Linked DNA regions of Mus musculus. The protein of the gene in region 1 purifies or fractionates together with the protein of each later gene. This does not show direct contact. Links are inferred from orthologs where the notes say so. Each region holds a gene or a part of one and is shown in the gene's direction. Other genes may lie near its edges.

Evidence for each region.
Region 2: the proteins of Ift43 (region 1) and Tulp3 purify together in Homo sapiens (affinity purification with mass spectrometry; 5 studies listed by BioGRID and IntAct, counting the BioPlex papers as one, with this or other methods). This does not show direct contact. The link is inferred for Mus musculus from reciprocal best matches to the Homo sapiens genes IFT43 and TULP3.

The regions. Positions count from the first base shown.
Region 1 is NC_000078.6:86,081,861-86,085,360, forward strand, and holds the start of Ift43 (intraflagellar transport protein 43 homolog), read left to right. Parts: upstream 1-700; 5' UTR 701-726; coding exon 727-780; intron 781-3,233; coding exon 3,234-3,326; intron 3,327-3,500. UniProt on the Homo sapiens protein: As a component of IFT complex A (IFT-A), a complex required for retrograde ciliary transport and entry into cilia of G protein-coupled receptors (GPCRs), it is involved in ciliogenesis.
Region 2 is NC_000072.6:128,353,024-128,357,146, reverse strand, and holds the start of Tulp3 (tubby-related protein 3), read left to right. Parts: upstream 1-1,295; 5' UTR 1,296-1,368; coding exon 1,369-1,409; intron 1,410-4,123. UniProt on the Homo sapiens protein: Negative regulator of the Shh signaling transduction pathway: recruited to primary cilia via association with the IFT complex A (IFT-A) and is required for recruitment of G protein-coupled receptor GPR161 to cilia, a promoter of PKA-dependent basal repression machinery in Shh signaling.

The DNA.
Region 1 (3,500 bases):
ACAAGCTGGGATTGTGGCTCCGTCACCACGCTTGGCTAGGTCTATACTTTCGAAAGTGATTGAAGATTGAATACTTTAATCTGGCCTCTATATAAACTTTGTTTTCAAAGACAGCGTTTCATGTAATCTAGCCCTAGCGTCCCAAATTTCACTATATAGCTGAGGATGATATCAAACTAAAAATTTCCTGCCTCTAACCGCCCAAGTGTTGGAATTACAGGCATGCATCACGGTGTGTGACCACTTTCAATAAACTTCTTGAATGCAGAAATCACATACGCAGCTTTTTTGCCAGTCATTGTAAATTTTATAAACTATTTATTACCTTAGTGCTCATCTGTCAAATGGAAATAACCCTGCACATCTATCCTTGAACAGTAACCCTGAAGACCTTTGTACATTGTGAATGTGAGGGCTCAGGATAATCACCAAGAGCAGCGCTTCCAATCACAAATGTGTTTAATCAGAGTTACAAATGTAGGCAGTCCCCAGGGCTAACCTCTTTGGAGCAATGTTAGAGGATCTTGCTAGCTGGAAATTTGTTTTGTTTTCTCCGAAGTCAAGCAAAGTTGGTGTAGGCAAGATTTGGTTTCAACTGGAAGGTGACACACAGGACCTAGGATTTGTGAGGCGGACTCTTTAAATACTGGGATGGAAGGGCTGAGTCGTTGTTAGGGACGCGGCGGAGACGCCGGTTTCCAGGAAGTGACATCAGCTGCCGCGGCGATGGACGATTTACTGGACCTGGGCGAGGAGAGACGTCGCAGCTCGGCCACCTCCGTGAGGAGCGATGCTGGGGGCTGGGGTCCGGTTAGGCGGGCGGGACAAATGGCACGGCTCTCTGAGAAGCTGGGAGTCTGGACAAATCCGGGCTCAACCGCCTAAGTGCGAATCCCACCTTAGCGGAGGGTCTGCCCCCGCCCCGACCACGCCCGTTCCCTGGAGTTTTCTCCCGGGAAGTCTAGTCCCGGAAGTTCTGAAAGGCCGGGAAGAAAGCTGGCTGGAGATGTCCTTTCCTCATGCTCTCTGTAATCTCTGCTCCCCCAGGATTGGAAATCAATACTCCAGTTGTGTGTGTGTGTGGCGGGGAGAGGGAGTAACTAGGTAACCGGACTGTAGATGGACCAGAATGCACCTAGCCTCGACTTCCATGCTAGTAGACTGTTGCTGTGCAGATGAAAGGGGAATTCGTGGAAAGTGTTTTGCCTCTGTTCCTGACCTTCGCTGTTGCTTCCTCCCAGCCTATGACCGGCGTCCAGCCAGTAGATAGAACTTGATTAAAGACCTACAATTCAGCGTTTTCTTACTGCCACAATCCCCACCAGGTCTCAATAGCCTTTAGAGTTGAGATCACTGAAGGATTGGGCCACCTGGCAAATCCTTAGTTTCTGATGTTAAATCTCAGGTGTTTTGAAGGGCCTTGATACCCTCCAGGGTGTTAGAGAGGCACCTGTTGGAGGGAGATAAAAAGGGGCAGACGCTAATTGGTTTCGAATGGAGCAGAGTTTTTAAAAAGCTAAGGACATTAGGCCACCAGGTCTTTCTGACACATGAACCTTTTGGGTACCCGGGATGTGGATGTAGTGACTTTTTTCATTCTTGCCACAGATATGTAGCAAGCCCAACTGTATATCAGGCATTGTTCTAGTCACTGGAAAGATAGATAGCACAGAACAGACCATCACTGGCCTTTGCCCTAGTCGAGGGGAGAAGGACAATAAAAAGACTGCCCTTAAAAATACATGATCTCAGATTTTCTGTGTTGTCAATGTACAGGATCTCCAAATAGTCTTAAACTTTAATGTCTGTTAGAGAAGTCCCTTGCCAACGACATTCACACACAGGAGCATTAATTTTTGTTTAGGGTAACTACTGTAGGATCAGATACTTGGATAAACAAAGGAGGGTGCCTTTCTCTCTCTCTCTCTTTTTAAGATTTATTTATTTATTTTATGTATCTGAGCACACTGTAGCTGTTTTCAGACACACCAGAAGAGGGTCCCCATTACAGATGGTTGTGAGCCACCATGTGGTTGCTGGGAATTGAATTCAGGACCTCTGGAAGAGCAGTCAGTGCTTTTAACCACTGAGCCATCTCTCCAGACCAAGAGGGTCCCTTTCTAGAGAAGGAAATGAGCTGTATTATCAGCAAGCTTGTTCCCACCACTCTTGAAACTTGAAAAGATTTGCATCGTAACTTGAAAGGTTGATGATTGAAATTGGATTGCCCAGATCCGCTTTAGTGGGTTTTGTTTGTTTGTTTAATGTGGGGCTCCTAAAAACCTTGTCTCCCTTCTTAGAACAGTTAGCATCTAGTTTTCAGAGGGGTGTCATGGGACATATAAGATGAACACAGGATTTTGATCGGAACGTGGGCCTTGGTTTCCTTTTTAATAAAATGGCATTGGTTTCCGTGTTCATTCATACCATCTTGAGACTGGAACACAGCCGCGATAATGAGACCTGAAGATGCTAGGCCGATGCTGGTTTGGTTTGGCTTTGCTAAGTAAATGGTCGCACAGACACTCGTCAGCACCCACTCGTGTGCCTCAGAGTTTTCTTTTGTTCTGGGGAATGTTGGAGACAGAGCCCCTGCCCACTTGGGGGGCCTGAGGACACCTGCACAGGTTTCATCTGTTGACTCAGAACCCCGAGGTGCTTGTTCTTAGCATCCAAAGGTGCCGTCTCAGCATTCCTGTGGTGGGGCTCCCTCCGCGCCTGTAGATGCGCCTCTAGCCAGCAGAGCAAGAGGTGTCTGGATTACTCAACTGCCATAGAATTGAAGGATTCTCTCTCAACGCCTGTCTGTTAGCGGTCTCAGGTCCTGCTTAGGAATGTGGGAGCCTTTACCCACCTGCTTGGAGCTATATGGCTTGAGGTCTCTCTGTCCAGGCTAGCTGCATTTCTAACCATGTGTCATGGACAGAACAGTGACTTTGTTTTTGCTGCATCTGTGGCTGTTGAAAATCTCATGATCAATAACCTGTATGTTTCCAATTCTACCAAATAGAAATGACTTGGGTACTTTCTCCTAAGGGTTTAGGGATACATCCATGTGGCATTCACATATATATCATATATATGATATATATATATATTCATATAACATATTTATGTTACTCAGATCCTGTTCTCTGCCACGCCATAAGACCCCAGTCCTGGCTTACTGTGTGTCGTACCCACAGGGCCTCAGATGACACTGGATCAGCCGTACTCTCCATCTCTCCTTCTAGGGGGCCAAGATGGGACGCCGGGCTCATCAGGAGTCGACTCAGGCTGAGAATTACTTAAACAGCAAGAATTCTTCACTGACTCAGACTGGAGAGGTGAGTGCTGCCGAGACAGGAAACAGGAAGTCGTGGACTTTTAAGAATAAATGAGCCCTTAATGAGCAGGGTTGTGGTATCTACATTTGTTTGGAATGCCAGCCTCTCCACGTGTCCTGATTTGGAAGTTCCCCATGAGGACATTTGTCCTACTGGGAACATCTTTCCTTTGAG
Region 2 (4,123 bases), on another chromosome or scaffold:
ATGAGTACTTTAGGTTTGTGTTTTGAGATGTGTTTACAGTGGAAGAAATATGACGCTATCACATGTGGTGGAGAAATGGATTCCTATCAGTAACTTATCCTATGTGTACATAAAGTGGAAGCTCACACTCTAGTGTGGGTAGTGTGGATGTGCCTGTCTCAGTGGTCCTCTTACTCATTCAAATAGCATCTCTTTCAACCCTACTCATTTAGCACTAGCCCTTTCTAGACCAAGCAGAGCTTATGAGTGAAGATTTGTAGCACACACACACACACACACACAAAGGAGCAATCCAGAGTCCCACAGGGAGAGGGGCTAAGTGAGTGCAATGCTTTCCTAGCCTATGTGTGCAGGTATCATATTCCCTAGTTTTCAAAAATTAATTTCTGGGACCTGGAGAGGTGGCTCAGCAGTTATGAGCCCTGGATGCCCGGAGGCGCGAGTTCTATTCCCAGCACCCACATGGTGACTCACAACCATCTGTAACTCCAGTTCCGGGGTATCTGACAGCCTTGGGCACCAGGGATGCATATGATATGCAGACATACACATAGGTGAAACATACACATAATAGCCTAGGGCACGATGGCACATGCCTTTAATTCTAGCACTAGGGTGACAGAGGCAGTAGGATCTCAGAGTTCCAGACCAACCGAGGATAGTATAGTGAAATCCTGTCTCAAAATAAATACATTATTTTTTAAGTGAATTTTTGGATTCAACATCAGTGTGACTTTGGCCTTACTAATTAAGTTTATATGCTATAGTTCTGGTCATAAAGTCCTATAGGGACCAAAGCCACAAAGGCATTGATGGCTGGAGGCATGATTTACTGCAGAGAGGACAGCTTAGCTGCTACCCTCACTAAATAAGGACATTTGCTGAAGGTCCCCAGGTAGGGATCCCTCAGTCGGGCTTTGGGCAAAGGCTGGTTTGGGAGGCTGAAGGCCTCGGCTATCCCAGAGTCGGTGGTCAGATGCTGAGGCTTCAGGTGATAAAGAGTAGAAAACCCAAGGCAGCAGCCTGGATGTTCTCGGTGCCACAGAGGGGTGCTGGGGATCGCTCTGTGGGGGCCAGTCCCGGAGCGGTGGAATGGAGCAGCAGACTCTTCCGACCCAACCCCGGGGGGCTGCTCCCGGATCTAGCGCACGCGCCTTCGCCTCCCGGTGCCTCCCGCCCCCTGGAAACCCTCCAGCATCATGGCTAACGCCATTTGCCAGTGAGAGGGGAGCGTAGGGCACTGGACCAATGGGCGTCGGCGACAGTGCGGGGTGTGGTTGTCAGGGGCGGGGCCCGATCTCCTCCATCCTCTCCAGCCGGGCGGCGGCGTCTCGGGGTCTGGACGCTGATGCCACCGGTCGGGCGGGTATGGAGGCGGCGCGCTGCGCACCCGGACCCCGCGGGGACAGGTCAGGCGGCGGTGGGGCGGGCTGGGGTCTCCAGGGTGGGCGGGCAAGAGCGGAGGCCAAGATCGGGTCCCCAGCTGAGCAGGCGCTTTGCACACCCCGCGTCGCCAGAGCGCTCTCGCGTCTCTTTCCTGGAATTTACCCCGAACCTGCTCACCCTACTCCCCAAGGGCCTCCGATTCCCTCATTTGCAATGCGCTGTGCATCCCGTGCCGCCAGCACTCTTGAGCCGCTCCCCTGGAGTTTACCCTGGACCAGCTCGCCCTGCTCCCCTGGGGTCTCGATTCCCTTACTTGCAATGCGTTCGCCCTCCCCCATGTCTTTCACGAGTAGGATCAGAACTGAGCTGGAAGGAGGGCACTCTTGGGAGTCGACGCGGAAGGTCGCGAGTGATGGTTAATTGGTTCCAAGGCCGTTGCATTTGGCAGTCATTGCGGAATTCTGGAACGAGTCCGAGAGCTGAAAATGCAAAACTGTTCTTTTCTTCTTTCTTCCTTCCCCTGAGTTCTAGCAGTTCTTTCAATCAGGACTTAGTTTAGACTGATCCGTACTCTTGCTCGTGCCCCTGGCTTTTCTACCAATACCCCTCTTTTTGCCTGGTTCACATGGTGAGCTTGGAAAGACAAACGGGCTGCAATCTCAGCCTGTTCATTTCTTGTCAGCTAGGCTAACGAAAAGTTAATGGGGGGCCGTGTGAAATCACTGGCTCAAAACTTTGGCATGGTGTGAGGATTAAAATCAAACACGCCAACTACATTCTTCCTTTACCATTCCATTACCACAGCGATAAAGGCTTGGCGTGTTAGGATTTGGTCTGACGTTTAAACTGGTTTTTAACTGATCCGAAACCATATTTTACAAAGTTATAAAGACGGAATAGCGACCCCCCCACCCCCCGTGGGTCCCATCCAGACTAGGCTTCCCTGAAACTTAATAATAAGTTAATAAGGAGGACTTTGAACATTTGCCCCCTACCTCTGCCTCCCAAGGCGTCACCTGTTTTAATCTTTCATCAACTAAATTCTATAAACATGATAGCTGCTCTCTGAAATTTGTTTACAACTTCTCCATTTTGGGAACCGAAGATCCATTTACAAGGGTAAGGTCGGGGTAGGAAAGTTAGAATTCAGCGTGTATCCGGTTGAAATCAAATGATATCGCGTTCAGTTGAGGGATTTAGTTGTTAACGAAATGATTTTTAGAGAAGTAAATTTCTTAGGGATGTGATTTTATTTTTATTTTATTTTTTGAGATAGGTCTTATGAAGCAAGACTGAAACTCGATATTCAAACCAGGTTAGCCTCAAACTCATACAGACCCATCTGACTCTGCCTTCCATGACTCATGATTTTAGGGAACAAGGACTTGACTTTGAAACTGGGACCAGCTGGCAGGTTTTTGTTTTGTTTTGTTTTCATCTCCTGGACTTGAAGCTTTAAGCTTTAATGCCTCCTCCCCCACCTTTTCTTCCAAAGAAAGAAATCGACTCTTTAATTTCCAGTTGATTGACAGGAAAGGAGCCCGTGGGAGCCCCTAGTTTCTCCTGCCCTAGGAAGAGCATGCAGGTTTGTTGCTAAAAGCCAGTGACTGCCTTGCTTTTGGGGTAGTCATTAAGAGTGTTTTGAGAGAGACTTCGAGACTGACTTGACTGAAAGTCAGTATAATCCAGTGGTCCAGGCTAGCCACAAACTCAAAATCTTCCCTGCCTGAGCCTCCCAAGTGTCTCCTGTAGGCATGTATCACCAAACCTGGGTGGACTTGTGTGCTAGGTGTCTTCTCTCTCCCCCTCTCTCTTTGTCTCTCCCCCGCTCTCTCTTAAATTTGAAATTTTCTTTACATTCTGACCAGAGTTCTCCCTCCTCCTCTCCTCCTCCCAGTATTCCCCCCCCCCATCCACTCCTCCCTTTCTCTCCTCCCATGGATGCCAACCAGCCATGGCATATCGAGTTGCATTAAGACTAGGCACCTCCTCTACTTTTAAGGCTGGAGGAGGCATCCCAAGAGGAAGAAAGGATCCCTAAATCAGGTAACAAGAGTCAGACCCAGGGGGCTGGTGAGATGGCTCAGTGGTTAAGAGCACTGACTGCTCTTCTGAAGGTCCTGAGTTCAAATCCCAGCAACCACATGGTGGCTCACAACCATCCGTAACGAGATATGACTCCCTCTTCTGGTGTGTCTTTAGACAGCTACAGGGTACTCACATATAATAAATAAATAATAAAAAAATTAAAAAAAAAAGAGTCAGACCCAGCCCCTGCTCCCACTGTTAAGTAGACCAAGATACACAACTGTAACATGTGCAGCGAGCCTAGGTTGGTCCCGTGCAGGTTCCCTGGTTGGGGGTTCATTCTCTGTGAGCCCCTATGAACCTAGGTTAGTTGATTCTGTTGGTTTTCTTGTGGTGTTCTTGACCTCTCTGGCTTCTTCAATCCTTCCTCTCTTCCACAGGATCCCCTAAGCTCCACCTAATGTTTGGCTGTGGTCTCTGCATCTGTTTCCATCAGTTGCTAGGTGAAGCCTCTCTGATGGTGGTTATGCTAGGCACCTGTCTGCAAGTACAGCAAACAGAATGTCATTAACAGTTTCAGGGGTGATCTCTCTTTCATTGCCTGGGTCTCAAGCTGGACCAGTCATTGCTTGTCCATTCCCTCTCCCTCTGCTCCATCTTTACCCCTGCACAATCTACAGGCAGGACAAATTGGAGGGCGAAGGTTTTG